4 linked regions of the Alligator mississippiensis genome follow. The protein of the gene in region 2 interacts with the protein of the main gene of each other region in a pairwise test. Links are inferred from orthologs where the notes say so. Each region holds a gene or a part of one and is shown on either strand. Other genes may lie near its edges. The genes, in order: NDRG4, ARL6IP1, SNX11 and GAD2.

Region 1 (7,780 bases), on a different chromosome or scaffold from region 2:
AGGAGCATGCTATTAGCATAGGAACACTGGCACACTACAGATCTACCTATAAATGTAATTTAGGTTGGAGAGTCAATGATGGCCAAACAGTGCCAGCCCCACCCCTCCTTTGTGGGTCACAGCTTGCAGAAACCAGCATGGCCTAACTAAGTTAGCCTCCCACCCAGGCTCAGGCAAACCTTTGACCCTTTTCCCCACTCCCTGAAGCTGGCAAATTCTCCTAGTGCAGACACAATTACACCAACAAAGAAGCATTTTGTATCCACGCAGTAACACCACTTCACATGAGTTAAACAAGCCATACCAGGGCAAGCACAGCTATACTAGCAAAACTGCCCATGCAAAGGGCTTCTGCTAAAATAGCTCTGTCAATCAGGGTCCACATTTCTGAATGTCCAGGTTAGGCTGGCAGAAGGCTGTAGGGAACACCTCAGTATTGGACTTCTCAGGCCAGAAGTCCTTTGGTTAGGTCATCTAGCCTATGTCCAGTGCCAATGCCAGAGCATAACTCTGCTTAGCAAGGAAGCAGCATCTTCCATCCTACCTAGAACACAGGACATGCTGGTGCTGTCGTATCTACTCTGCATGGCAGAAGATTGAGCACTGGCTTGCTCTGGTCTGTGGAAGTGGGAAACAGGCTATAGAAACCTGCCCCAGCTCTGTATGAGGCACTAACGAGACCTTATCTGGGTCACAGTGCACAATTCTGATCACCAAGCATCCAAGAAAGATGAGCCCAGATTAGAATAGGTATATAAAGGGACTCTTTGGTGGACCAGAGGATAGGGAAGTCAGTCTCATAAAACAGACTAAAGGAGCTTGGTTTGTTCTGTCTCGCAAAATGAAGGCCGGGAAGGGATGGAATTGTTCTCGGTAAATACACTGGGGGAGGGAAATGCAAAGGAAGGAAAAGAATGATTTAATCTAAAAGATACTACTAAAACAAAAACAAATGGTCTAAAACAGCCATGAATAAATTTGGGCTTAGAATTAGAAGGCTTCTAGCCATCAGCTCAGCAAGGTTCTGGAACCACCTTCTTATATGGGCAGAGGCAAACAACCTAACCTAGTTTAAGAGGCAAGTTGGTAAATTTTCCTAATGGGAATATAGTGTGGTGCCTGCAACAGCAGGGGACTGGAACCAACAGCCCAGAAGGTCCCTTCCAAGTTCCAGCCCTGTGTAACAGTTTGGCCCCATCTGTGCATGCAGGACCAGTCCTTGTTAGAGCCCATCAGGGAAGACACTATAGTGTGTCCTAATGAGATCCCCAGGCACAGTAGCCTTGGCTGTGTAGAGGGGCCCTTTATTAATGAGTGACTACCTGGGCTGCAACTGTAGCAAAGCATAACCTATTCTCTTCTAATCTCCAGAGCTCAGAATGGAAAAGAAAACAAAAGGCAGTCAGGCAGCCCAGGAAGGCTGGGAACAAGCAAGCAAAAATAGACAGTGCCTATTTCCGGCAGCATGGCTGACAGGGATCAGCACCTTCTGCCATCCCCTCTCTCTCTCAGTTATACTGCAGCCAGCCGGGTACTCAAGAGCTCACGTGGACAACACCTTTTCCCCGATTATAGGTGAGGCTTCCCTTATCCCCAGCTTTGGCTCTAACAAATGGAAGAATGGCCTCACAAGGTCCCCTTCTTACAATCCCAGTGTAAAAAGCCCCTACAACCCCAGCTCCCAAGATAACACCCCGTGGAGACCTTTACTGCAGAGTCCTGTAGTACCAGGAGGGTTAGAGCCAAATGCTTTGCAAACTCTGTCCCTCTACCACTGTGGGGAGTTCTGGGTGAACTCGGTCCCCCAGCCCATTTGAGGCTAAGTACAGACCTTTTTCTTTACCTATGCCACCCTATCCCAAGTTTGGTTCCTAAATGTGCAGCCCCTCCAATGCAGGGACCCTGACAAGGTAATGTGGACTTGGTGTGCAAGGAAGTGCACAGACAGTTACTAGCAGCAGCTGCAGGGAAAGGCAGAATAGAAAAAGGACCCATCAGGACCCCAGTCCCCACCGGCAGCGACTATGGATCACTGTCACTCTACAGAGCTGCATCCTGCCTAAGAAGCCCAGATGCAGTGTGTGGTGCTGACCTCCACACACATCCCAACAGACAGGGCTTGGGAGAGACAGCTGGTCCTGTGGGGGAGGAGGAAGCTGCCTGCGTCACATATCGGCAGCCTCTCAAGCTGAGCACTGGTCCCCTCGTTTATTCCTTGAGCCTCTCTGGCACCAGGGAAATTACTGAACCAGGTGGGGTAGATATGCCAAGAAAGCTGCTTCCAGCTGACAGGATACAAGGAAACTGGCTTGTCCATGAGAAGTAACCCACCTAAATCCAATTTAACAGGGCACTTTCCATTTCCAAGTATTATATAAATATGAAATAACTAATTAAATGGAAGAGATTAGAGAGCAAGGAAAGAAAAAGTGAATTAGTGGAGGCTCTTAATAGCTAGATGTCCCATCTCATCCCCTTCCATATAGCATTCAATAAACAAGAACTTCTCCCCACATTGTTATGCTGTTCCATAAAGCCAAAGGGCATAATCCCACCCCAGCCCTCACCCCTGGACCAGCTCTGGTTGAAGTCAGCAGCTTGAGACTTGCCCCACAACTCCAATCAAAGCAGTCTCATGCCCAAAGTAACTGTGCCACTGCACTAGTGGCATGAAACAAGGAGCCTTTTTTGGGATAGAAACAGGGAAACCCACCAGACTCCAGCTTGTAAACTTGGCCATCCATACGACAACCAGAGTGGCTCCCTGGGAAATGCATGCAAATTCCACCCGCGTATTTTACCTGTTAATAATTCTATTTTATGTCCCAGAACCTTCATTCTGCTCTGTATCCTCTCCAGAATGGGTGCCAATGGCAAGAGAGAAAGAAAAGCTCTTGAAAAAAGACAAGCAGGATAAATCCACTGGGGAGAGATGGGCACAGTCCTCAGAGGCAGGCTCAGTTCCAAGCAAGCTTGGCTCAGGAATGAGACAGAGAGCTGGGCTGGAGTGGGAAGAGCAGCATGTTGTGTGTGTGTGTGTATGTGTGTGCGCGTGTGTGGAGCATGAGTGTTCAATGCAGATAGGTAGGAGCTTCATGCGCTTTCAGGAGAGAACCCCCCCCAAATCTTACATTGCACAAATAAGCCACCCACCCTGCCCCCGCCCGGGAGCCTGGCAGGGCGAGGCTGGGTGAATCGGGGCACAGATGGGCTGCAGGTGCCCAGACAACACAGCAGCCCTCACGGCTGCTCAGACAAAAGAGCAACCCCCCTGCTCGCCACCTGTCATATCTGCAAAGCGGGAGGGGGTTGCTGTCGGGCACGCAGCACCAGGCCCCCGGGGAAGCGGGGCAGCCCCCAAGCCCCAGGGCTACCCGACCCCGCATGCAGGCCATGGGGGGCGAGGGCAGGGGAGCGGACCTAGGTTTTGCCTTGCTACAGAAAACGAACCAGGGCCCAGCCGGGATCAGGTCACCGCCCTCCCTTCCAGTCTCCTGGGGCTGGTGCAGGCAGCATCGGGGGGTCCCCGTGGGGGGCGGCTGCGGCGGGAGCCCGGCACCGCCCGCTAGCGCTGGGGGGCGGGGGCCGTGCTCGACTCACCGGATCAGTGCCACGCCGGGGGGGCTCGGGCTCCCTCCGCTCCTCGAGCTGCGCCGCCGCCGCCTCCTCCGCAGCTGCTCCGTCCCCAGCGGCAGCAGTGCCCCAGCCCGCCCCCAGCGGAGGAGCAGCACCTCGGCCCGCGCCTTCCCCGGGCGCGGCTGGGCTGGGCTGGGCTGGGCTGGCGCGGGGAGGGGGCGGCGGAGCCGCGGTGCGAGGCGATCCACGTGGGGGCTATTGTCTGGCTCGGGGCTGAGGCTGCGGCTGCGGCTGGCGGCCAGGGGGAGGCTGCGCTGGCTGCGTTTAACGGGAGATGCACCAGCACACTGCGGCAGGCTGGCGGCAGAGCCGGGCCCGAGAGGGAATGGCGGGGTTGGGGCTGTCGTCGGCCCCCAGCGGGGGCACAGCCAGGCCCGCGGCTGAGCCCGACGCAGTGCGGGGCGTCCTGGTGCTGGGGTCTCCGCAGGGAGCAGGCGCCAGGCCAAGCTGGGGCACCGCCCGCCCGGGCCCGCGCAGGTGCTGGTCCCGGAGTCTGGCTTCTCGCTTCCCGCCGGGGGGCGCCGCGGGTGAGGGTCACAGCGCCCAGCCCCCCCCCCCCCCCCCCCGGTGCCACCGCGCTGGCTGCCTTGCTCCGAGCATTGTCCTGGGAGAGGCGCCCTGCAGGCCTGCTCGTTGGGCCCAGAGAAGCGGGGCCTAGGCCCACCGGGGAACTAGAAGCCTCCCCAAAGGAGGGAGGCCAGTAGAGGCCTGACAACTGATTGCCTGGGACAGCTAAAGAGAAAATGGGGACAGGAGCAGGTCACAGGTTTACAGGGAGTGCTCCAAGGGCACACAGAGCACGCCAGCCAGCCCCCCCAGCAATGCGGAGGAGCCTGTGGACACAGCCCAGTGAAACTGCCCAGGGACATGCACGGATCAGGGACACAGAAAGGCCCCACAGTTGCCCAGGTCCCCTCCTCTGGCTGCAGCCTCCCTCCTGTTGAGATAGCTTGGCCAGAGCTGAGAGGAGGTTGACCAGGAGATCCTGGAACCTGGTGGGGCCACAGATGGGGACTGCATAAAAGGAAAGGTGCAGGGAGAAGCGTGGCCACCTCAGGTGGAGCTTCCTGAGGAGGCAGCGGAGGGGCTGTAGCCTGGCGCATTCAAGGTAAGCGTGCGCCAGGGTTGTCCTCTGTTGTCAGAGCAGGTGTCAGGAGTGTCTGTGAAGCATGCCAGGTGCACACCCTTGGAGATGGCTCCACGTAGCAACCACCAGCCTAGGTCCCTGACCGTGCCATGTAGGATGGTGACACTCATGAAGTCTTATATGGCCCTACTATATTCTGCATGAGGAGTGGCTGGCAGAGGATGGTCATTGCTTCCCTGATGCTGACTCAGATATGGAAATGCCTCATTTCTTACTCACCGCTGTAAACTTGCCCTGGCTTCCCAGTATTGCCTGCTCCTTTTTTGATCTGTCTAGCTTGCCCTGAGATGAAGAGCAGACTCTTCTCAGCCTTTCTCTTCAGGCTCCTACAGACTTCTCAGATCCTTTTTCTCTCGTTCAGTCTCAGATGTGTCATGCCACTTCTCATCCCACAAGTAACCCTTTTTAGGAACACAATTTAACCCCCCCCTCCACACACACACCAACCGTCCTTTTTTTAGCTAACCAAAGTGTTAGGACTTTATTTTATTTTTAAGAAATGAATTTTTCACACATTGGGAAATAAGCTCAGCTTTTGATTTCTCTGAGCCTTCACTAACTTTCAAATGAGTCCAATTCCAAGCTTCAAACTTCATGCATGACAACACGTTCCATAGAGGAAATTTCTCCCAGGACTCATTAAAAACCATTCAACATTTTTTGAAAAGCCATCCTGCTGGTCCCTGCTGGTGTCCACTAGCCCTGGTTCAGCCCTGACCCTGCAAGGAGTGATATGCAGGTTGATCCTTTCATCTTACTGGGGCTCTGTGTTTCTATACACAGACCTTTGGTTGAGGTCAGCCCCTGTTCATCTAGCCCTTGCTCATCTAGCCTGAGCAGGGGCTAGGCTAGATGACCTCATGAGGTCCCTTCCAGCCCTACTTTCCTCTGATCCTATGATTTCTGCTGGCACAAAGGTCTTGATACACAAGACTAGCAGCCAGAATCCAGCAGTCAGCTATGACCAGTTGACTATTTTCAACAGGAATTTCCAGTATGGGTTAAAATATTTGTTTTTTTCGCAGTACACACCAGGCACACAAGTCATAGACAGACAGTGATTGATATGGGAGTTGCACATGTCTTATTTATTTGCTGGTACCTGTAAGCTGAGGTTTTACTGTAAAATGAATCGGGTGCACTTCCCCTGAGCACCCAAGAAGTTCTAGGCAAGAGACCTACACTATGGGAAGAGCCATATTACAGTTGAGACCTGCAAGTTCTGCCTTATGAGTATGTGTGGAATAGGGCTGCTGCAGTGATGCTTGCTGCATGTTGGCGGAGCATTCCCAGGATGGGCATCTGCACCTCTGATAAGACATAAAGCTCCCAAGGAGCTTTCCATGGAGCAGGTCTATCCCACTTCCATGGTGCTCTTGAGAGCACAGCAAAGAAGCATGCCTCACCCACTCCCTCTGCACAGGCCAATCCCAGAAGTGAGCCAGGGAAGCTGCCCTGAATTCACCCTGAACTGCCTCTGTCAGAGGCAGGGATCTTGGGAGTGGAAACAAGTTGGTAAGGGGCCGGTTTCTCGGCAGCACTGTCAGAAGTGCTACAGAAGCAACACAGACATACCCAGAGACAGACAACTAACTCTACTGACAGTAGGGCCAACATCTTCAACTCCCACTAGTGTCAATGGGAGCTCCAGGTCTGACACTGAAGCCAATGGCATACATAAAAATTCTTGAATGGCCCACAGAATAAAATTACATGGGTACAAGGAACTGAGATTCAGTTGCAATGGAAACCTTGGCTTCTAAATGTTCCTGCATGCTCAGTCTTGATTTAAAAAATGAAAGTGATAGAGAATTCAATCTATCCCATTCCCCCACATTGGTTCTTGCTCATAGGCAGTCCAAGGCTCTCCCTTAATGTTGCAGTAACATTTTTTTTGCATAGCTGGTATGACCATAAATGCAGGTGTTGACATGCACCCCCATGTCATGTGGTTGCAGTGAGCTGATACTTCGCTCAGTTACCCCTGAGCTCCTTTGTGTTCTGTGAACCAGCTTGTGATCCCCTGTACATGGGTGTAAGTCTGGAAGAACCATGCTGCCTGCACTGTTGCTATCCTGAATTTACACCTAGGGCAGCTGAGATGAAAGCAAGGCACCCTTGTCATAAGAAGCCCAGAACTCAAACCACAACCTTTTGCAGTTGTGTTAAAGAGTACTAAGACAAAAGCTGCAAGCTTCAGCCTGCTCTCTCTTTAGCAGGCCAGCAAAGTTGCTAAAATACCGATTTACTTCATAATGTCTTTAAATTACAAACATACGTCCCTGTGGTGGGGGAACCCGAAGGCTACAGAGTATATTAATTTACAACAGCAGCAACAGTTAATAGCTTTGTCTAGGACCTGCCATTATTCTCACCATCCAGCTCCACTGAATTGAAATAAATGGCTGATGAGACATGAAGTGTTGACACAAGCATTTATTTCCATACTTGGTGCCTCATCACTCATCTATTTTAATACTTTGTGTGTCAACGGCATGTTGACTGGCAGCCCCTTTTAATTTTAATTCAGTCTGAACAGAACAGATAATAGCTTGGTATCCGTAGTGGCATTAATCTTCACTTATGGGTGAGAACTCCTAAGAGAACATGGAAACATACACAATGTATTTAACCCTCAGATTTATACCTGGTCAAGTAGCTAGCACTCCTATGGCTTTAATCTCTATAGGCGCCTACACACATGTAGTCAGGCTGCTCTGATGCACTGTAATTGCGATTGAGTCTGCTGGAGTGTGGTAATTACTGTGCTCCAGCCGATTCCAGCATCACGTTTATCAGCATTCCCTCACTGAAAAATGGCCACGGAAGCACTTTAACTAAAACTAATTTGATGAGCTTTAGTTAAAGCAGCCCTGCTGCCGTTTTTTAGCATGGGGATGCTGATATACGTGACACTCCGGCATGAATGATGTGTGCCCCCAGAGGCTGGAGGTGGGGCACGATGACTGCCCACAGGTGGCTGCAATGTCAGCCGGG
Region 2 (7,836 bases):
CATCCTGAAGCATGTTGTGCTACACCATTATAGGATTTTGACTGGAAGGCAGCGGGATTCCAAGGCTTGTTATCAAAGAAAATTCTTGTGGTTCCTCTTGTTTCATCCTCTAACTGTTCCTATGATGCAAGGTAGGAGGGCTTTAAAAATACGGTCTTACAATATAAAGGAAGTATTGCCAACAGATCCTGTCTACACAGTAATGAACATAAACTAGCTCTTGCAAGCATATCTAATGTTTATGCAATATCTTCACAACTGGGGTAATTAATAAGAGCCCCTGAGGAGCATGAAACAGAACAGGCACTTCTAGATTCTGATCTAAAGCAGCTTCAATCACCTGCCACTTTTGTGACTCAGCCAACTAGTATTAGGTAATGGGATAGGATAATGTTGCAGGCTTCTGATGACCAAAACCCATTAAACCTGTTCAGTGCATGGAGCTGCAGCAACAGAACAATACATGTGAATTCTCTGTACGGAGAACTCTTTGGAAGATGGCCATCCATGACTGCTACCAGGCTATAGCTACCAATCTTGATGTTGGTAGATCAGCTGCTGGATCTGTTGTAACAGGTGAGTACTTTATCAAGGAGGTATTGTCTCCTAAGCAGTAATGGGTAGTGCAGGTCAGGGGATCCCAAAGTGTTGGTTTTTGCACTAGACCTAGGAGTTCACCAACAGATTAGAATTTTCTATGGTGAGGCAAGGCCTGATTGCTGACTATGGGAACTGCACCATTAGTTATATAAGGTGGTCTGGAAAGGCTCAGGAGGAAGTGTTTAACTACGCCCTGGCTGTGTCTACATGAGACACTAACTGTTCAGTAGCTTGCTACTACTGTGCAGTAATGTCACGTGGCACAAAGTGTGACATGATGCTACTGTGCAGTAGTAATGAGCTACTGTGCAGTTGGCATCACCTAAAAGCCATTTGGCAGCACTACTGCACAGGTACTCCAGTTACTGCGCAGTCATTTAGTACTTGTCTACAGTCATTTAGTACTTGAGGGGTAAAGGAAGAAATCTGATGTTGGGAGCTGGAGGCTGATGAGAAACATCTACCTTTTATTGAAAGCTCCTTGCCATTTTGGCACAACCTTCGTGAAACTAAGGGAGACAGCCTCATGAATGGATAGGAGAAGGAGCTGGGCAGGTTTCCTGAGTGTTTTGAATAACATCTACAAAGTGCTACTGTTCTTCTGAGGGACAGAAACATAGATACAACATGCTCCTGATGCTTCATGTTGTGTTGTGGGGATTTTTATCTTATTTTGTGTATATTTCCTGTTTAAAGAATATTGTGCAAAGCTCTGCAGCTGAGTGCAGACAAGGTTGCACTTTTACAATGTTTCCTATCATCCCTACTGCTGTCTATGAGGTGGTAGCCTGCTCCAGTCCCTTCTCTCCCTTCTCTATACTAGTGCTATCATGGAAAAAAAACAAGTGGTTACTGTATCCAGGCCAATAGTGGTAAAACAGTGCCCTTTCCTCAGGGCATAGGCTCTTCATCTCAGTTCTATGAGATTATGCAGATGACAAAACTCCACAACCTTCCCAGTCCCTGGGACTCCTGGGTCTATGATAGGTGAGTGACAAGTGGCAGGGGGCTGTTGTTAGAAAAGATTAACAACTACAATAGGCTCTCGATGTAGGGGCAGTTGTGGCAGCTCACTTAAGGTGCAATCCCACTCACCTCAGCAGCTGACCGGTTTCATTCATGTAAAGCTAAGGCACTTTGCCAGCTGAGGCATCTAAGTCAATGGGGAAAAGTGCAGTTCCACAGGTAATGTGTAGGAGGGGCATGTGGGGGCATGTACCCTCCTGAAATTGGCCACTGCCGAAGCCACTGTTGGCTTCTGCGGGTAGTTGCTGCCTGCACCTGCCCACCCCCACCTTGCTGCTGACACAACCGGCAGTGCCACCCCCCGCCACTGACGGTCCCTGCTTGCTGCCATGGTGCCCCCCAGTCTTGGGAGGCACCAGTTGTTCATGTGCCAGTGTTCATAGGGGCATTTTAGATTACAAGTTAGTAAGATCTTATCTTCCACAAGAAAAAATCCAATGTATAACGAATCTCTCACCAACCTATTTCTACTTCACCCAGTAACATCAGTAAGAGCATGGTTCAGCTTTTGGAATGCGGCCTTTGACGCCTACGTAATGGTTTCCCAGGCTTAGCACATGCACGTAGGCAAAGGTAGTTTAAATCAGTCGAAATCCAGGTGAATGAGCATGTGCAGTATCTGGTGCTGCAGATTCTTCTGCAGCGCCATACATGCAGGTATTCGCTGCACGGCTAATTTGCAGCATGGGCAGAGGGGAGGGATTCTGACACTGAGAGATCCCAGTGACAAAAAAACCCTGCACCTAAAAAAAGCAGAGTGGTGCATGTGGTGGCAGCATGCACCACCCGAAACTGGAGCCTAACTGGCTGGAGCCACACTCTGGCTGCCAGCCCAGCCTCCCTGCTGCTGGATTGGCGCGACTGCAGCCCCTGGAGGCCCATGGGACCCCAGGTAAGGCTGCTGGGATGAGTCCAGGTGCTGGCCCCAGCCTCCCTTACCTCAGCCAGGGCAACTTGCTGCCTGCCACAGCATGCGTGCACAGGCGCTCCCCAGGGACAAGCAGCAGCAGCGCAACTGTGTCACTGCTATTTTCTTCCCGGGAAAATTCACGTGCACGCTCTTCTGGATGTGCCCAGTGTGTCTATTCAGCAGGCACCTCATGGACATGATGTGCATAGCCCCTTAAGGTGTCTTTTCTTCAGTCAGGTGTGCAAGAGAACACCTTTCTCTGCAACGGACCTCCCAGAAATAGTGATGAGAGATGCCTGCATTCAGGAATTACCTCTACATCACCTTTTTCATGGCTGCATGTAACTTCTACAGCAATTTGATTCCCTAAGGCTTCCATTCGTGTGTTCCCCCTCTCCCAATTTGAGAGGGATCTCTATCTGGGGAATCTATATAATATTATCAGTATTGCTAGTTTGTGCCTTGAGCCCTTAGCGACCTGTTCTCTATTCTAAGAGTCAGGGAAGAGGCCTTTTTGTTCCTCAATATTACATCTCCTCCAAGTGTAAGATTCAGGTTCTCAGAGCTGATCCCCTTCCACGGTGCTGTTTTGAAGACAGGATCTCACACAGCACTCTGCACAAATTCCTGTCCTGAGTTGTACGAGGTGTATGTGAACCTATGTATTCATTTCCCAGTTTTCTTCACTGACCACAGTGCGAACTTTGTACTTCATACACTGGTGGTAGGAAGGGTCTGGTTACTTTAACAGGACAAAATCCTATGGGAACATACCTAGACTGTCTTTGCTAATAGGATAGAAAGTTAGGCAACAGTCTCACAGAGATTATTAAAATGCGTCTCTAAGCATATAACATGCAGTGAACTTGCTGAGTCAGATTCCTGCAGCCATTATAGAGCCTATTTCAGTAGAGATCCAGCACTGTTTTCCCCTGCTTGAAAAACATCGAGCAGTTAATATACTGTGGTCCACGTCCATATTTAAGGATCCCAGGTACGACCAGAATATAAGTAACACCATATTCAGCATAGGTAGGATAGGTGAATATGGTAGCAGTCCACATTCGCAGGACCTTGCTGTCTGGGAAAGGCTTCAGATTGTACACTTATATGGCTATCCTCTCATCCTTGTTTAAATAGGACTCTTGCTGTTGACAGCCAAGGTGACCATCGACTGTTTTAGTCACAACACTGGTATCTATGTGGGAGCCCCATCAACCACCGTGCACTCAAAGGAGGGAGCCTTAAAGTTGCTTGTTTAACTGCAGGGGTTTTTTAACCTCACAGGAGGTATAATTCACAAGATGCATCCTCCATGCAGATTGCCTCTCTAGTGCTGCAGCGTCTTACCGGGCCAGGCGTTCATCGGGGCTGCCTGGGGCCGCCCAACCTTTCAGCCCTGTGGGCCAGATGCTGGCGCGGGTGTCAGGCTGGGGTCTGGCGTGTCGGCCCAACCCTGCGTGCCAGCCCCGTCCGGTGCGCCGTGGCACGGCATCCAGCCCGCAGGCCCGGCCATTTGGCGTCAGGGAAGCAGCAATTAACACTGATGTGGCCGGAGATGGGGCACCACTCGTTAAGCTAAGGAGCTGAGGCACAGCGGGACCTGCTCTGAACCGCGTGCGCTGGGCGAGGGCCACGATGCCGCGAGGGCCCCGGCGCCGCGGGGAAAGACAACAGGCGCGAGCAGACATGGATGCAGGGCAGCACCGGACGGCAACAGGCTGCTCCTGGCTTCCCCTCCTTCCCGGGGCACGGAAGATTAGCAGACTGTCGGTCGTTGGTCTGAGGGCACGGGCAGACGAGACTCTCTGAGTAAATGGGAGGTTTTTTATTAGACCCACTGAAAAGTTGGAAAAATTGTTCTGTGCAAGCTTTGGGAGACACACTTTTTTTTAATTATTAAAATGATCTATCTATCCATATACATATATGTGTGTGTGTGTGTGTGTGTGTGTGTGTGTACACGTACGTGTATATTTGTTCAGACCAGGCGAACACGCGGGGGCAAGTGTCGCGGGGGGAGGAGCTCGGGCCGTGGGCCGCACTGGAACGAGGCTGTGGCCCCGCCCCCCGCGCTCGTCGCTCGAGACCGAGACAGTTGGCCGTTGACACCGCCCCAGGGCAGAGGCGCAGACAGAAGAGAGCCACGCCCCGATTGGCAGCTGCCCGCTTTCAAATAGCGACGCTCTGGGATTGGTCCGGCCACTCGTTCAAGTCGACCAATCGTTGCGTAGACTTCAGCGGACCCCGCCCCCACGCCGTGTCCATAAAGGGCGGCGCCGCCAACCCGGCGCAGTGCTCGGCGAGCAGCTAGCTGGGGCGGGCGCAGTGTTTGGCTGGTGGGAGCGTGCGGACCCGCACAAGATGGCGGACGGAGACAACAAGAGCACCAACCAGCTGGTGAGCGGCCGGGCCGGGCGGGGCTGCTTCCGCCTCCGTTCTCCTCCTCGCCCTCAGCTGCTGCACCCGAGCCGGGCGAGGCCTACCCCAGCTCCTGCGCCGCAGTCTCCCCGGGCTGTGCCGCAGCAATGGCCCGCGCCTTCGCTCTCCCCTGGCTCGGCTCCCCTGGGCCCGTGCCCTGGTGCGCCCTTGCCCTTCCCCTAGGCAGCGGGGAGGCCTCTGCGGCTTGGGGCCCGGCTGCCTCCCCGCCCCACATCGGGCTCTGCGCTTTCTCCTCTCGGCTTTCGACTCCTAGCGCTTGGCTTGGCCCCTGCCCCAGGCTCTGTGTCTCCCCTAAAGGGCTGGGCTGCTTTCTCCTTAGTCTGGATTCGGGACAGAGCAGCTGACACTGCAGCTCCATCTCCACCCCTGTCTCACATAAGCCTGTGGCATCTCTGATTCAGTTAGTCTGTAAGGTGCACCTCTTCTCACTCCAGGGTTTTTATGCTTTTGCTTCGGAGAGACAGGAAGGCTTGAAACAGCCAGGTGTAGGGGCCTTGCTCTGGACGAAGTGGGGAATACGCAGATGGCTTTAAACACAGGTTCAGGCAGGAACTGAAAATGAGGGCTGGGGAGTCAGAGGTAGTAGCAGAAATAATCGTGGGAGGAAGGGGGAGGGCGGCTTTGAAGGGTGACATTGAGGAACGAAAGGAGTGATATTTTGTCTGCAGTTTCAGATTGGACTTGATGGCCCAGGAGGTCCCTTCCAGTTCCTTGTTTTTGAAAAGTGAGGCACTCAAACGGTGTTGAGAGCTGAAAGAAGCTCCTAGAAGGAGCTTTGAAAAAGTAGTAGAAAGGAGGAAGCAGCAGCAGATGAGAGTGAGACTCAGGCACTCGGCTAGAAAGGGTCTCTTGGAAGCTGGGAGGTGCTGCATGCGGCATAACTACAATACCTGGGCTAGGGAGGGGAGGTGGCTGAAATTGCCTGACTTAATGGGAGAGAAGGCTTGGGAGGGGCAAGCATTTGAATGAAGGTTGAGGAGGTGATGGACAGGAGGAGTTGGCACCTGTTCTCTGCCTATTTGCATGGGAGAACAAGTACACTTGCTACCTGCTTTGTGTGCTGGCAGAAGTCAGGCTGTTATTCCTGACAGCTGTATTCTAACCTTTGTCCTGCTAAAGTGCCTCTTGTGTAATGGGTAACTTAAGATGAGTTCCCTTTTCTGAGTGATTGCTGGTGGCCCCAGATACTGAAGTAACACAAACATAGACTTGTCTGTTGACAGCAGGCTTTTGTCTCCTAGTTTGGAAAATGAGAAATTGAGGCTATTTCTAGAAAGTGTGAAGTAGATATACTTATTGTTGGTACAGTTATCTTTAATGTGGAAGGTAGATAGGGCAGGACATATAGATATAACTGATCTGATAATTGCATCTAGGTTTTGATCATCACATGCAGATTTTACACTGACTACTTTGGGTTTTTTGTTTTAAGTTATTTCTACCTTCCCTCTCCCTAGGAAAATAGTCCCTTTTTGTGATACCAGCAATCTTTCCTATTTTCCCCATGGACAGCAAGCTTATCAGCTATATTTAATGTGTTACATATGACCTGAGGCAACGGTAAAGAGGCTGGCGTAGGCATTTTTTTTAAGTTGGATTGCCGTGTGACTAGTCAGATGTGAAACTACCTTTTTTTTTTTCTATTTTTGACCATTTCTGAGTTAACATCACCTTTTGTCATTCATACATATAATTTAAAAGAATGCAAGCCAAAAATTGTTCAGTTTATGGTATCTCATAAATAAATGTACTAAGTACATTGTACTAGTGTACCCAAGTACTTTTGGGTGCTACTCTTGGAAATGTGTGTTTTAATTCTTTGATTTTTTTTTTTTTTTTTCCCACTATTAAAAAAATTCCAAATAGGTTTTTCTGCTTTTTGTCTAACTCAAAATGGAGTGAGAAGCAGTGAAACGGACTGGATGTAAGGGCAGTAAAATACATGTACTAAATACTGGATAGGGTGGGGGACTTGAATTCAGTTTTAGTTTTTAAAAAAGAGGACACTTTGAATTCCTTACAAATGCTTTCTCTATGCTGGAGAATCTTATGATTGGCAGACTAGTTAATCTCCCAAACAAAAGTCTTCCTCCCTCCCTTTCTTTTTCTGAAGGGATGAGCTTCAGGTTGGGATGCAGAATAGCTTAGGAGATCTAAAGACACCTTATCTTGGAGGACATGTTACTACATAATCTGCTGTGAAAATCTTAACCTTACTGTCTTCATTAAAACCACAGAGTTACAGTGCCAAGTTGTATGACTGAGGAAAAACTGGTGGAAGAACATTTAACTGAAAAGGATTGACTGTGTCCTGTACCTATAGAAGAATAATTTATTTTAGTGTGGCTTTGCAAGCACAAATACTTAATGAAAAATTTAGTGCATGTAGTAAATAATTCATATGTAAGTACCCATGTGACTTTCTAATTAGTGACAACTTTAAATGTCTTTTTATGCAGGCTGCAGAGACTGCCAGCTTGGAAGAGCAGTTACAAGGATGGGGAGAAGTAATTCTGGTAACTGACAAAATCCTTCGTTGGGAAAAAGTATGGTTTCCACTTGCAGTAATGGGTACTGTTACCTTTGCTTTCCTGTAAGTAGTCTGCATTATTTTTGCCAGAAAATCAACTGAAGCTTTCTCCTTAAAAATACCACCTGGGAAAGTTTTGCTCCAGTATCTCTTGCTTAATATAGACAGTAAGGTCTAAGATTTTTTTGTAAGAGCAGTAGTAACAGGAGGGTGCACAAGACCTCTTGCTCTGAGGCCAGCAGTGATTGCATGTTTCACTGATCCTTTTATTTATCCTTTCTGACCTTGGTTGTTAAAAATGTCCTTTATGAGTTGCTGTTGCTCTAGC
Region 3 (7,122 bases), on a different chromosome or scaffold from region 2:
GGTCATTCCTGAAGTAGACGATCCTCCAAGCCCAAAGGGTGACAATCCTCACATGGATCAAAGGGGGCAGCAGTGCTCAAAAGCCCCCATGGCTCACCAAAAGCATCCAGGAACATCTCAGAACTAAAAAGGAGGTGTACACCCAATGGAAGCGAGGGGCCATCACCAAGGAGGATTATACCTCCATTGCCCGAGATTGTAGGGGGGCTGTTAGGATGGCTAAGGCGGAGATGGAACTGGGACTAGTGACCCAGATCAAGAACAATGAGCAGTCCTGTTTTAAATAGAGGGTAAAAAAGAAGGTAACGGGTAACGTAGGGCCTCTGCAGGATACGCTAGGAAATCTGGTGGTCACACCAGATGACAAAACTAACCTCTTTAACAATTTCTTTGCCTCCATCTTCTTGAGCAGGGACCGGGGCATCCCCCCCACTGGGATCCCCGAGGGACCCAGGGGAGGTGCTGCCAGCCCCAGGGTCAGTGAGGACCTAGTCAGGAAACTTCTGGTGGGTCTAGATGTGTTCAAGTCAGCAGGTCCTGATGATCTCCACCCCAGAGTGCTGAGGAAATAAGCAGAGGTCATTGCAGGACTCCTGGCACAGCTTTACGAGCACTCATGGTGTTCTGGTGAGGTGCCGGAGGACTGGAAAAGGGCCAATGTGGTCCCCATTTTCAAAAAAGGGAGGAAGGAGGACCCAGGAAACTACAGGCCCGTTAGTCTTACCTCGGTCCTGGAGAAGGTATTTGAGAAAATTATCTAGGAGCACATCTGCGAGGGACCAGCAGGGGAGATCATGCTTAGGGGCAACCAACATGGGTTCATTAGAGGCAGGTCCTGTCAGACCAACCTGGTGGCCTTCTATGACCAGGTCACAAAATTCTTGGACGCAGGTGTCATGGTAGACGAAGTCTTTCTGGACTTTAGGAAGGCCTTTGACACTGTCTCTCACCCCATTCTTATTAAGAAATTAGGTGACTTTGGCATCGATGCCTACACAGTCAAATGGGTCGCCAATTGGCTGTAGGGCCACACCCAGAGAGTGGTGGTAGATGGGTCTTTTTCCCTGGAAGGATGTGGGCAGTGGGGTCCCCCACGGCTCAGTCCTCGGGCCCGCACTGTTCAACATCTTCATCAGTGACTTGGACAAGGGGGTGAAAAGCACTTTGTTCAAATTTGCGGATGACATTAAAATGTGGGCAGAAGTGGGCACGCTGAAAGAGAGGGACAGGCTGCAACTAGATCTAGACAGGTTACAGGGGTGGGCAGATGAGAACAGGATGGGATTCAGTACTGACAAGTGCAAGGTACTGAACCTGGGGAGGAAGAACCAGCAGCATACCTACAAGCTGGGGAATTCCCTTCTTATCAGCACAGAGACAGAAAAGGATCTTGGTGTCATTGATTCCAAAATGAACATGGGCCTCCAATGTGGGGACGCAGTCAGGAAGGCCAACTGCACCTTGTCATGCATCCACAGATGCATCACGAGCAGGTCCAAGGAGGTGATCCTCTCCCTCTATGCGACATGGGTCAGGCCGCAGTTGGAGTACTGTGTCCAGTTCTGGGTGTTGCACTTCAGGAGGGATGTGGACAGCATGGAGAGGGTCCAGAGGAGGGCCACTCGCATGATCAGGGGGCAGCAAAGCAGGCCCTACGAGGGAGACTGCAGGACCTGAACCTGTTCAGCCTCCACAAGAGGAGGCTGAGAGGGGATCTAGTGGCTGTCTACAAACTGGCCAAGGGGGACCAGCAGGCCATGGGAGAGTCCCTGTTCCCCTGAGCACTACAGGGAGTAACAAGGAATAATGGCCATAAATTGACTGAGAGTAGATTCAGGCTAGATATCAGGAGGCACTACTTCACAGTCAGGGCGGCTAGGATCTGGAACCAACTTCCAAGGGAAGTGGTGCTGGCTCCTACCCTGGGGGTCTTCAAAAGGAGGCTAGATAATCACCTAGCTGGGGTTGTTTGACCCCAGCATTCATTCCTGCCCATGGTAGGGGGTCAGACTTGGTGATATGCTCAGGTCCCTTCTGACCCTACCAACTATGAAACATGAGCTAAGGTTTTCAGTTAGAGCTAAAAACAGACTGCAGGGCAGGGCTGTGAAATAAGAGAGAGAGATTACCAGGAATGGCTAACAGACATCGACATCAGCAGAAGCAAGGGAAGTTTGACATCAGGACCATTAAAATGGATAGCAGTTTTTAACACCTGTGGAGTGGAGAGCAATTATCAGGTATCAGGAAGAAGGTAATGAGCCATTAAATTAATCCCAGGCAGTTGGCTTTTAGTTTGGATGGAGGAGGAATCAAAGGGGGGATGGATCTGTATTACTATACCTCAGGGGTTGACAACCCCCATCTGCATTACTGTACCCTCTCTGGATTTGCCCCTGCTAGGTTCTGGATGAAACCAATGGATTGGCCCCAGGAGGATGGATGAGTTTGATTCCCCCCAACCTTAAACTCACCATCTCCAAAATATCAGAACAAGAAGCTGCTCATACCAGGACAAAACGCTGCTCATACAGGTGTTCCTCTGCTCTCTGCAGACTTATGTAAGCATTTTGTCCTTTGCCCATATTCAGGGTCTTTCCAGATGGTTTTCATTAAGAGAAAAAAAAAAACCCAATTCTCTGAGTCAAGTATTTTTTTGGTTCAATCCTGAATATTCACAAAGAAGGAAGGCAGCATATTTCCCTGAACATGGCAGAAACAGACCACAGCAAAGTCTCACAGTTTCCAAGCCTGGCTTTCCAGCCAGTTCTGTATCCCAAGGAGCTCGTGTCCCTCCTCTCTCTTGGGGTTACTCTCACAACTTCTTTCGCTGTGTGCTAGCCTTTTGCTTGCTCTTTCTTGACTTTTTGCTTCTGCAATCACTCTCTCCTCAAACCCTAGTGTTTGCAATTAGTCCTAGGAAATCCTCTAAGGCCACACAGCTGAATCCTGCTCAGCCTTTGCCATGCAGCCCAGTGCCTTGGATGGTATCCTCTTCAGCTATCCTGCCACATGGGTGTTTAAAAACAGCAAACTCTAAAGGAGTGTGGTTAACACACTTTTTTGACTTCAGTGAGTTCTGTGATTAGCTCTAAATCAAACTCCCTTGGTCTCCCTAGCTCCCTAGGCCTCTTCATGGGCGATTTCCAGACTGCAGGGTCGTCACTGGCTAGATCAGGACCCAAATCTAGTGGTGGTGCAAGCAGTGGCTGCCATGGGTTCATGAGCCCCAGCATTGGCTCAGTGACCTGTAGGGATTAGCACAGTAACACCCCCCCCAGCAGGGCCTCTTACCCCAAAATTTGGTGATGGGCTCTGCTCCCAAATTTCCAGCCCTTCCAAGGAACCCTGCAGGCCAAATGAAAGCCTGGTGGTGTGAGTCAAATTTGGCCCATGGGGTGTGTCTGATACTCTTTCTCTAGATAACAAACTTTGCTTGCTAACAGCCATTAATACCATCAGAGCATTACAGTATTGCCCATCCCAAACATTAAGGAAATTATGATCCAGGTCATAAAAAACTTTATTATAATGATGATGATCCATTTGAGGCTAGTTCTTGAGTCTTTATAGTGCCCCTGGTCCCATGTGCCAGCTTGTTTTTGCAAAGATGAGGGCTAAACACTTGATTTATTTATTTACTTAAATTAATGCCAGAGTCTCAATCCCCTAACCCTGGAGTGGGGCTTTGACAAAACCACCCAGTGTCACAATTTGTGCCACAAAATGGTGGGGCTGCTAGTATTGCCCATGTCCCACAAAGCCTTGCACAGGGACCCAGGAAAGATCCAGAACTGAGGTGGCTTCCACCTCTCCTCTGGGCACTTTGCTCTGAGTATTCCCCCCCTCCATGCATCCCCTTATCTTCTTTCTTTTATCTAGGAGAGACAAAGCTTTCTTTGGGTAGCATCTTTTACCAGACCAATTGCATAACTGGGACTCTTAGCCAAGCTTGCAAATGCAAAAGTACTTTCCTTATCCACTGCATCCCCCTCCCTCTCTCCCTCCCTCCCACTGTGCAAGGCCCCCGGGGGCTGGAGGAAGAGGTGGAGTCCTCTCTCCTAAGCAGAACTACATTTCCCATGCTGCCCCGCGCCCTAAAAGGAAGGAGTCTCACGTGACCTCTGCTATAAGGGCCCAGGCGGCGCCGCCTCTTCTGCTTAAAGGGGCCGTGTCACCGGAGTGTCTTGCGGGAAGAGGTAGGGTCTTTGTGGGGTGCATGGCGGGAGGGCACCCGGCACACCTCAGGCAGCTGTCTGGGCAGTGGCTGGGGAGATTGCTGCTCCTTGCCTGCGCCAGGGAGGCCCCTATTCAGGCGGCACCTTCAGTTCATCGACTCCTTGGGGCGTGTTGATCGCACGGAGCCAGCTGGAGCTGGGCTGTCAGCGGCGCCCAGCACTGCAGCTTGGGGGCCAAGGAGCCCAAGCGCCTGTGCGGAGCCAGTGGATGGGGGTCTCTATCGGAGGACGTGGTCTTGGGTGTCTCAATGGGTTCGGTTGGGTGGGGTCCAGCTCTGGACTGTGCATTGCTAGAAGTGGGGGGAGAGGCAAAACACAGGGGCGAAGGAGTCTCCCTGGCACCTGCTATGTGGCAAAGGGCATCCAGAGCAGATCAGTTGCCCCAAAAGTGACAAGCCGCAGGAGGAATGGAGTAGGCTTGTTCCCCTTTCTTGGCTGCAAAACGGTATTTTCCCTAAAAACTAGCCACCTGGACTTTTTGTCTCCCTTAGTAGGGCCTCTGGTGAGGGGAGCTATGAGATCTCAGCTCACCAGGGAAGTGAAACCCTGAGGGAAGCTGTCTGCCATCAGCACAGCAGTGCAGCAGGTGGCACGGATGGGGCTTTTGGCATAAAAGTCCATAAGCCAGTATGAGGTCTGTGAGCAGCAAGTAGGTGTGGGGGGGATGCAGCTGGTGGTAATTTCACATTAAAACCGTCTAAAACCCTTCCCCCTGCAAGGTTTTGGACTGTTTGTCCAACAGACACTGAGGAGGGAAGCATGTTTGACATCTGCCCCGTTGATTAAGGAAGGGATGTGAGTGCGGCTGGGGATGTATTTCTGAGTCATGTGGAAAGTTTTCTAGCAAAATAAAACAAAACCTGGTATTTCCATGTTTGCATGGAAATGTACATGTTTTCATGTTATATTTTTTAAAGGGGAGAGGCAGGGCCCCTCTTTTCTGTCGGGGTGAAGTCAGGTTGCCTTTATATATGCCAAAAATGACATAAAGGCCTTCTCTTAAGTTCAAGGCTGTACTAATAGGATTTGAAATGGCTTTGAAAACTGATACAGCTATGGACTGAAGTGTACATATCTTAGCACTGAGCATCAGAAATCAGTCATGAAATCAGATTTACAGTTCATGAGGCTTGGACAGAATAAGTATTATGGTTTTGGATTCTGGTTTTTGTGCATTTACAGCTGAAGCTTTCAAGGTTTGTTTCTTCCTTAGAAGATGGAGAAAGTCTCTAAAAGAATAAATAAATGCTAAGATACTTGCATATGTAGGATTCTAGGGAAAAATGTTAAATACCATCTTATTTGGTATTACTGTTCAAGTTAACTTCAAGTTATTTGGTTTGGTTTAAGTTGACTTGTTGCCATTGTAAAATAAATTGATACAAATGAAACTGGAGTTGGATTAAGAATAACCTGGTGCAGCTTTGAATAGAGATGTAGTTAAATGACACAAGCAAACTTCTTTACCAGTTTTTGTTTTGTTTTTTGTTTTTTTTTTTTAAACCAGTAACCAAACTCTGGCAGCTTATGAGTGATACACTGCAGCACCAAATGACTTAAAGCAATACTGACAGCAAGCAAAAGCAAAACTTCATTGATTTTTTTTTTTTCTTTTCTTTACTTACCATTGTCCAGTCTGGCAGAGATATTAAAAAGAGCAAGTAAAAGCAGGATGGCTACTGGATTTAAAAAATTAACTTTTAATTCAGTGGAGGTTTAGGTAAATGAATGTGTACCTTTCTAACAATTCTTAGATTGGCCATCTCCTGTTGTGGCACAAATCAGTTCCTATGCAATATAGGCATAGGTGGGTCTAACTTGTGACATCCTTGTTTTAAAATAATTATTTCTGAGTATTTGGAATCTAGTCAGTGGAAGGTGGGGGCACTAAGAACTCTACACTGTATGTCTGATAGTGTAGATGCGGCTTATGTGCCTCACTTAGTTGTTTATCTATTTAACCTCCTAGGGAAGGCCAGACAGCAGTACATCCTTCAACACTGTCAGGCATTAGAGTCTTAATGAGGGATTTCAGAGAAATTATGGAATTTAAAAAAAATAATAGGGAAGGGCTCTGCACAGTACCACAGGAACCTCCCTGGGTATGGAATACACTAGGTTATGATGAGTGCTGTCTACAGGTCTCCCCTTTTTCTCTCTGCCTCTTTCATCTCTTCCACCTAATTATTTGTCTTGATCCTGTTTCTCGCATCTCTGGCTCCCAGCTGATTAGGGTGCATGTTCTGGTTGCCTCTTATGCCATGTGTCCCCACTGCTGTTTTTCTTTGTAAGACTCATTTGGTTGCTGGAAAATTAAATTCCTTTTCCTACCAATTATGTGCCATTTCACTTAGCATGGGCTGATTCTCTTTTTTCCCCCTTCTGTGTCTTTAATCTCACTGAGCCACCAGGGCTGTCGCACAAAGAAAGCAGTTTAAAAGCAACAGCATCAACAGTGCCTCTCTAGGGAGAAGAGGGAACATAATGGTCAACCTCTCTGCTGATGCTATTCTGTATAAGTGCTTATCCCACACACATCACCACAGTATCTGAGCGTCTTCCATTATTGCATTAAGTGACGTGACTAATGTGCCGCGTGTGGTTCGTTCTCTCGCATCCTCTCCCTGGTGGGGAGGCGTGAATTGTGTGTGCAATGAAGTGTTGTTATGGTAGGGTTTATTTTCCCCCTTCCCCCTATTTTATTGCAGTGCAAACTTGAACCTGCCATGGTGTAATCAGCCCACAGCAGTGGTGTGATGATCAGCCTTTAGCAAAACCTCAATTATCCAGATTTGTCCAGGAGCTGCTGTTACTGGGAACAAGGTCATGTCTCCTGCTGTGTATCATGCATGTTTAAAACTGCTTCTTGGTCTGCTTCTCTCTG
Region 4 (7,773 bases), on a different chromosome or scaffold from region 2:
CATTAAAAGCCCTTCTCCTCTGTCAGAGCAACTTCTCAGCCGGCTTCTGGACTCCCCCAGCAGCAAAATGCAGCTGTTTTCACAGCTGTCTCCACTGGCTGCAGATGTTTCAGGGCGCGGCTCCGGCGGGCAGCATCCTGGGCAGCCTGGACGTGGGGTCATCACTTAGCCGGGCGGCAGGAGACCGGGGCAGCTCCCACTGCAGGAAACGGACCCCAGCGGAGCAAACAGTCTCTGCTGCTCCGCCAGGCTCCGATCCCCACACGGGCTCGGCCCGGGGGCTGCAGCGCAGCTCGGCCAAGGTCTGAGCCCGGGGTCCGGTGCCCTTGCGGGCGGGGGCTTGTCTGCGGCGCTGGGCCCGAGCTGGGCGGGGGGAGCCGGTCTGTGCCCCGCGGCGGGGCTGGGCATGGACTTTCTACGCTGAACTAAGCTTGGGGTAGAGGAGAGAAACGCGGTCCACATCTCCCCATCCCCATGGTCCAGGGACTGGCCATGGGGTCACAATCCAGTTCCTCCAGCGTGGGGCGGAGAGGGGCAGAGGCGAGGCCGGGGACGCCCCACGCGGCTCGGCCGCCTGCCCCCGGGCTCCGGCGAGCCCTTCCCCGCGCCCGCAGCCGGGACACGGAGCGCAGGGCCCCGGGCGGCTGCAGGGCGCCGGATCCTGCCGCGGGTCCCGCGCCCTGCACGAGCCCAGCCCTGTCCTTGTAGGGGCTGCGCGGCCCGGGATCGGCCCCGGGCGGGCGCGGAGCCACAGCGGGTCTGTGCGCGCCGGGGGCCGGAGGACGCTCCCCGGAGCCGCCGGGATCGCCCTCCCCGTCGCGGCGGTGCCAGCCTCTCGCCCCCAGACACGGCCGGACACTCACACGGCACCGCGCGGGCTTCAGGCTCGGCACGAGGCAGAAAGTAACGTTTGTCAAGGCAGGAGGAGGAAATCTCGGCCGCTCCATTACCTGTTTTAATGGCATATTTCAGCGTCGTTCTGCAGTTCAACAAAATTTCTTCCAAGGTCTGCGGTTGATCCGCCAGCTCCCAGTTGTATTCCTGGAGCAGCTCGTTTGGGTAATGGAAATCAATCACTTTGGTTGATCGGTCAAAACTTTTCGCCACGTACTGAAGCAAAATGTCCACGACGTCTTGTAGGAAAGACATCGTCGCCACCTCCCCGTGGCAGGCGGGCAGGAGATCTGGAAGCGGAAGAGAGAAATGTCAGCGGCGGCGCTGGGTGGGAGAGGGATCGGGCCCCGGTGGGAGCTCCTGCAGCTGCGGCGGGGAAGGCGAGCCCGCTGCCATTTCTCATTTCACCTTGAGACGTGTGCCCGGACTGCACTGACAGTGACGGGCTGAAATGCGAGCCCCACGCATGCATTACAATAAAATCCCTTCTTCGGGGCTGGTCAAATGTGGTGGCTGGCAAAGAACTTGTTGATCGTTTACTGCCTTTTCGTTACTGGAGGGTTTCAACGGGATGAACCAGTGCAGCTCCTGCGTTTAGTTAAGGCTCGTGCCCGGTGTCAGCTCTGAGCTGTTTGTCGCGCGGGGCGGCTGCAGCCCTGCAACGAGCTCATCGCGCCGGTGGGCCGGAGCCCGCGGCTCGCGTGGGAATAGGTCTCGGTACCACATCCCCACCCGGGGCTGGGGGACGTGCCGGAGCAGAGGGGCCCGCTAGACATGCACTCGTTGGCGAGAATTTCCCGAATTAAAAAAAAAAAAAAAAGCATAAAAATAGCGATCATATTCCGGGGGCTTGGTGTCGCTCTAGGAAAAGGTCGCTATTGCCTGCGTCCTTGGGCAGAGCAGCCCGCGGGGCGAAGCTGTGCAGGTATTTTTTTTCAATCCTGATGTTATAAAATGTTTCCTCTTCACAGACCCGGGCAGCGCCATCTGCTCTAAGCGCGGGGACGAGATCGTGCAGAGCCCGCCCGAGCCCGGGGGCTGCGCTGCGGTAGCCCGGCGGCTCCGGGACCTGCCAGCCCCTCCGCCGGCCTCTGCTCCTGGCCCGGCCAGCCGGGATTAGCCCCGCGGAGCACCCGCGCGAGGGGACGGTCGGTACCTGTTGAGTGTAAAAATGCATAATTAACATCCGCTTTGGGGCAGCTGCAGGGCTTGGTGTTGCAGGTGCAGGCCGGCCGCTTCTCCTCCGAGCCCGGGTCCTCCTTTGCACCGGTTTCCATGGGCTTTTCCGCATCCCCATAGAGCAAAGCTAACGAGGAGACAAAAGAGGAAGCCGAAATGTCGTGTGTCAAACGCAGCCCCGATCGCGCGCCCCGCTGCTCCCTTTGTGCCCGCGCGCAGGGGCTCTCCGGTCCCGCGGCCTGCGACAGTTTCTCTCTTTTTAATGCCTACATATTTTGGGGTTTTTTTGGACTAGCCGCTACTGGCCACAGCGAGCTCCTTCCTTACCACAGAGTTTGGTTCCGATTCCTCCTGTGAACTTCTGGGCCGCCTGGCACCAGGCTCTGGCTGCAAAACAAGAGAAATGAAGCGGCGCGGCGGGGGCGCGGGCTGTTCGGGTGCGTCCGGCCCGCCCGGGGCTGCAGCTCCCGGAGAACAAAGAAAGGCAACGTGCCCAGCAGCGGCCTCGAGGCCTTTCCCCTCCCCTTGCCCCCCACGCCTGGGGAAGACCCCCCCCCCCGCCCGCAGGGACAAGCCCCTCGGGGGGACTCGTGGCCAGGCGGGCGCGGCTCCTGCTGGTCGTGGAGAAGCCCGAGGCACCGTCCAGCTGCACCTGGGCGGCCCCGGTGCGCGGCGAGGCGCGAGGCGAGCGGGAAGGCTCGGATCCCCGCGCCGGGGAAGTTTCCCGTCGGCCGGGCTGGAAGGCGTCCACGGGCTCCGCGGCCCCGCCGCCCCCTACCTGTGCTCGGGTTCTCGGGGTCCCCGGAGCCCTCCTCGGCCCCGAAGGACCAGAAGCCGGAGCTCGGCGTCGCCATCCGTGCGGGAGCGCGAGCAGCCGCGGCGCGGCACGGGGCTGAGCAGGGCTGAGCGGGGCGGGGCGGGGCGGGGCGGCGCTAGGCACTCTCCATGGTGCTGAGCGGCAGTGACACGAGCGGCGCCGCTGCCTCTTTATCCCGCGCGGCGCCGCGGCCCGGGCACGACTGCCCGCCGGGCCTGGGGCTGCTGGACGTGCCGCCCTCGGAGGCGCCTTCCAGGGGGCGGAGGAGGCTGGTGCTCCGGGATCCGTCCCGCTCCGCAGCCGCTCGTGCAGCCCGGCAGCCCCTGGGGCCCTCGGGGGCGGGAAGGGAGGAAGCTCGAGGGAGGCGGCTCGAGCGCGGCCGGGACCGACCGACGGGGGCGGGGGGAGAGGGGGGTCTGTGGCGGGATCACGTGAGTCCCGTCACTCCCGCCTCGCAGGACAGCGGGACTCGGCACTGAAGGCACAGCAGTGCCCGAGTGACGTCCTCGCCTCGCGTGGGGGGGGGGCGGGGAAGGGAGGAGGAGGTCCGGCCTCGACGCCGGCAGGCAGGGGGGGCGGGGAGCAGCCCCGCCCCCGGCCCCGCCCCCGGCACACAGCAGCGGGCAGTGCCGGCGGGCGGGCGACCCCCGTCAGGGGCTGCGGTGGAGTCGGTTCATAGCGCGGGGAGGCCACAGCCGCAGTCGCGGCCCCGAGAGCCTGGTTGTGGCCCCCACGGCGCCTCCCCCGTCGGCCCCGCGAGGCCGGGGCAGCGCCACGCAGGCTACCGGGCCCCGGACTCCCGGTTGCTCGCGGGCTTCGGCCGCCGCCCGCCCCCGGCCCGGCCCGGCCCGGCCCGGCCCGGCGCGAGGGGAGGCGCAGGAGGGCTCCGGCAGGAAGGCACCCGGGGGCCGCGCCCGCGCAGGGCCCCTTGCAGCCATGAGCCGGCCCCGGCGTCTCGACGGCGCTTCCCGCGCGGGGCTGCCCGGGGCGGGGGAGCGGGAGGTGCTGGCACGCGCCGCGGGCGGCCTTCGTGCGCTTCCTTCGCCCGCGCCTCCCAACCTGCCCCAGCCTCCCTGCCCGGGGCGCGACGGGCCCGCCTGGCCTGGCCCACGCTGGGGCCGGGCTCGGGCTGGCGGCGCCGTCCGGTCGGAGCCAGCCCGTGTCCTGGAGCACCTCGGCGCGGCCCGGGGCGGCGTGCGCGGGAGCAGAGGCAGCCGGGCAGAAGCTAGACGGCAGAGGCTCCGCGAAAGGCCTCGCTCCGCTCCCTGGAGCCGGGCCGGCGCTGGCAGCGTCCCTCCCCGCGCCCCGCTCACAGCAGCACCAGCTGCCCGCTTATCGCTGCCCTCCTTCTCCCCCCCGGGATTACACCTGTGCCAGGGTAATTCAGACACAGACAGGCGTGTCATTAACTCGCGTCCTTCTTTATTTACTCCGCCGCGTTACTGCTAGAGAGGAAGGAAGAGATTTCCAGACTGACACCCGAGGAAGAGCGGCGAGAGCAAACCCGCCTCTGCCGCGAGTGAGAGGCGGCCGCAGGCAGGGCTCTGCCCCGAGCAGCGAGCGGCGCGGCCGGGCTGGCTGCGCGCGGGGCCAGGGCGGCGGTGTCTCCCTTTAAAGGGCTTCGTGCAGAACTGGACGCCGCTGGCAGTCACTGCAGTCCGGGCGACTGGCTTGAGCGAGGGAGCGGGATTTGGCCCTCACCCTCTGGGGACTGTTTGCTTGATGAAGTCTGCCTTTCTCCCTTTACAGCTGGGAGAGTGCAATTATCAGACCTGGAATTCCACCTGGGTGTGAATGCACTAATTATCTCCATCCATTCTGCCAGGCCTCTTGTAAAATAGGTTTTTGGGTGGATTTTTTTTTTTTTTTTGAAGTGGCTATTCCCTTTGCACCCTGGTGGAACTGATTGCAATTGGTCTTTACCTTCGAGGCAGCAACAGACCAATTTTTATTTCCCTCGACATTTCTCCATCACCCAGAAATTAAAATGCCTGAACAAAAAACAATACCCATTTAGAAAGGAGAACAAAGCAAACAAAATTCAGGAGTTTATCCACAGAGCTGAGGGGGCAGGAGAGAAGGTTGTGCTTAGATGTCCTGTCCTGTATATAAACATTTCCCAGATAAAGATTACACACACTATATTGACCTCTAACCCCACCCCAGAGCCTTACAGTACATAGTCGATAAGGAAATAAGTTTAGGATATACTGTGCCATGAATAATTTATATGAAGATTTACTCTATAATTTAGGCATTGTAAGGCATAAACCAAAACGAATGGTTACATGCAATTAAAAATCCAATGCAGCTAATTCATTCTTCTGTTTGTTAAATTAATTTTCTGTCAGGGTGGGAACCTGAGTAGGAAAGGACTGGTCTATTTACTGGTTATTAACTGGTCTATTTACATAGTTTAAAGATGAAAGAAATGCAAAAGTAGAAAACAATCTATGCTAAAGAAAGTAAACTACTTTTTAAACATTCTTTCCTGTTTTATAATCTTGAAATGGATTAAGAACATCAGCAAAGGAAACTCTGTGGATTATTTTTTAAATATGTTTTTTTTTTAACTTGACAGTGTCCCTTCAACAGGAGGTGGGACCACAAATTAAAATAGTTTGTATTCAAATGAAAAAAACACTGTAAATGCGAAATATTGGAAATAGCCATACAAAAAAAAAGGAAAGCATATGGTATAAAATCATAAAAAAGATTATGCTAATAAAAGCCAAATGGCAGCAGCAACTAGAATTGCTGGATAAGGCGCCGGCGCTGAGAGGTTTTCCGCAGCAATTTTCTGTAGTCATAGGGATTATCTTCATTTTTGCTCTCTTCCAGGGGGCTCTCTGCAACCCTTGACCTAAGGATTAAGTGCAGAAGTGCTTTAGAAATTAAAGTAAAAACATTTGCTTCAGCAAACACTGTTAATCGACTGCTTAACTTCCACCCTCAGCAAAAGCTGCTGCCTTTCCCAGGCCTCTTCCCCTCTGTAGAATAAAAGAGGCACCTCAGAGCCAACACATTATAGACAGTACAGTGAAACATTACAGGAAAACATGTTTTTTCCATAAAGTAGGAATCAGTAGAGACATAATAAAAATGTTACGGCATGCAAAACTTGGGATCGATTCTTGTTGGATAGATACTGGACCAGATTCTCAGGTGCTGGAAACTGGTCTGGCTTCGCTGACATCATTGAGCTATCCCAATTTTTATACATGCTGAAGTCTTTATTGTTTCAGACTCAAAACTGCAAAGATCACAGACAGAACCATCTAATTTTATTTTTTTCCAAATGGAAAGTTGCATTAAGTCTCAACATATGAAGTGAAACCAGGTATTTCTCTGTAACGTGATTCAAAACAAACTTGATTGCTTTGAAACATATCTTATTTCAGAATAACCACTGAAATATCTGGGAAGCAGCATGAAGGGAACTGCTGCTGAATTCAAACTGCCAGCAAACAATAACAGGGTTCATTTTTCCACAGGCATATCCTAATTGATTAAACCACACAAGAAGCTCCGCTGAAATGGTCACTGAATGTTGAATTCTACCTAATGCTAAAGTAATAAGCTTGTAACAAGGGGATAAAATCTGCTCTCACTTGCATCAGGGTATGTCTAGAATTACCCCAGTTATTTCAATATGCTACTGAAGATGGCAGCCAGAGGAAAACATGCTATAAAGCACGTTTCTGCTTCCACTGTGCTCATTGATTTAAACATAAGCAAAATCAAGCCCCCAACTATATCCAAGAAATATTTTGAACAAAAAGTCAAAGGTTAGGTGAAGTTAATGACCCAAGAAATGCAAAATTTTCCTAAGCCTGTAACCATATTGTGACTTACTGCTACTATAACATGGATTCTTTTTAAAAAATTCCATGCTTTCATCAAATCTTTCTAAAAAGCTAATTGTGGTGCTCCTGTATTCAACATGAAAAATCATTTGTAACAGAAGGATTAAAGAAAGAATTTAAGGCACCTTTGCAAACATTTTTACTACTGTTTTGAATATATTTGTTTTTAAACCAGGCAGTCTCTCTAGATTACATAAATAGGTTTGTTTCGTTAGAATTTTCTTTAATCCTTCTACTATTGATTATATTTCACGTTTGTTCACATACATATTTGTGTATCTGCATACATTTGTGGGTGTGAAAGAGAATTTTTTTCTGACCAACAGAGGTCACTATCTATGAACTCTACATAGACACATCTTAGGTTTTGTCTTCAGGTTTCTTCTTCCTTTTCTCTCTGCGTCATGCTCACATCAAGCTGAGGTTATTAAGGCACGTGGTTTTTGTAAAATAGGGAAAAAGGAAGCCAAGAATCCGGTGTCTCAGCTCTGAAAGTCAGTCAAAATTTTGGCAAATATCCATATAATTTAAAGCCTGACTGAGCCAGAAATTTAACTTTCAAGTTTTTCTTTAGTTTGATGCAAGTTTGAGATCTGAGGCTCTACAGCAAGGAGGTGTGTTCACCTTATTGGGAGCTGTGGAAGCAGAACAAAACTGGCAGGTTTTCGAGTAAGACAAATGTGCACCGTAGACTGACTGGGCAGAGTTCTGTTCCAAAATTCAGACAGACTGAAAATCGAAGAAAGGAAATTTTCAGCTAAGCATAAAATTTCCTAATTGCTAGAATTATTATTGTAGAAGATTCCATGAAAATGAGTTGTTTTACAGCTTTTAAATGCAGATAGTTTTGTCTTATATGAAAATGTATCCAAATAAATATGTATCATCATTTTCTAAGCAGAATTAAAAAAACCTTTATTTTACCAACAATTATTTTCTGTTTACTTACCCTTCACTAGCCATTATAGTTGAACTCCTGAGCTCAGCCGGTTGTCTCTTTTCTCTTCGGCCAGTATA

What was found.
Region 1: the proteins of ARL6IP1 (region 2) and NDRG4 interact in binary tests that used the Homo sapiens proteins (3 or more experiments, as listed by UniProt). The two-hybrid records come from large-scale screens. The link is inferred for Alligator mississippiensis from reciprocal best matches to the Homo sapiens genes ARL6IP1 and NDRG4.
Region 3: the proteins of ARL6IP1 (region 2) and SNX11 interact in binary tests that used the Homo sapiens proteins (3 or more experiments, as listed by UniProt). The two-hybrid records come from large-scale screens. The link is inferred for Alligator mississippiensis from reciprocal best matches to the Homo sapiens genes ARL6IP1 and SNX11.
Region 4: the proteins of ARL6IP1 (region 2) and GAD2 interact in binary tests that used the Homo sapiens proteins (3 or more experiments, as listed by UniProt). The two-hybrid records come from large-scale screens. The link is inferred for Alligator mississippiensis from reciprocal best matches to the Homo sapiens genes ARL6IP1 and GAD2.

What each region holds. Positions count from the first base shown.
Region 1 is NC_081833.1:38,962,811-38,970,590, reverse strand, and holds the start of NDRG4 (protein NDRG4), read right to left. Parts: upstream 3,008-7,780; 5' UTR 2,839-3,007; coding exon 2,802-2,838; intron 1-2,801. UniProt on the Homo sapiens protein: Contributes to the maintenance of intracerebral BDNF levels within the normal range, which is necessary for the preservation of spatial learning and the resistance to neuronal cell death caused by ischemic stress.
Region 2 is NC_081836.1:44,689,223-44,697,058, reverse strand, and holds the start of ARL6IP1 (ADP-ribosylation factor-like protein 6-interacting protein 1), read left to right. Parts: upstream 1-4,827; 5' UTR 4,828-4,900; coding exon 4,901-4,936; intron 4,937-7,437; coding exon 7,438-7,571; intron 7,572-7,836. UniProt on the Homo sapiens protein: Positively regulates SLC1A1/EAAC1-mediated glutamate transport by increasing its affinity for glutamate in a PKC activity-dependent manner.
Region 3 is NC_081827.1:167,758,975-167,766,096, forward strand, and holds the start of SNX11 (sorting nexin-11), read left to right. Parts: upstream 1-4,114; 5' UTR 4,115-4,199; intron 4,200-4,248; exon of another isoform or gene 4,249-7,061; intron 7,062-7,074; exon of another isoform or gene 7,075-7,122. UniProt on the Homo sapiens protein: Phosphoinositide-binding protein involved in protein sorting and membrane trafficking in endosomes. Regulates the levels of TRPV3 by promoting its trafficking from the cell membrane to lysosome for degradation.
Region 4 is NC_081828.1:188,878,134-188,885,906, reverse strand, and holds the start of GAD2 (glutamate decarboxylase 2), read right to left. Parts: upstream 3,002-7,773; 5' UTR 2,928-3,001; coding exon 2,852-2,927; intron 2,461-2,851; coding exon 2,401-2,460; intron 2,201-2,400; coding exon 2,051-2,200; intron 1,185-2,050; coding exon 951-1,184; intron 1-950. Other genes in the region: MYO3A (myosin-IIIa), read right to left, coding at 5,639-5,753, 7,706-7,773. UniProt on the Homo sapiens protein: Catalyzes the production of GABA.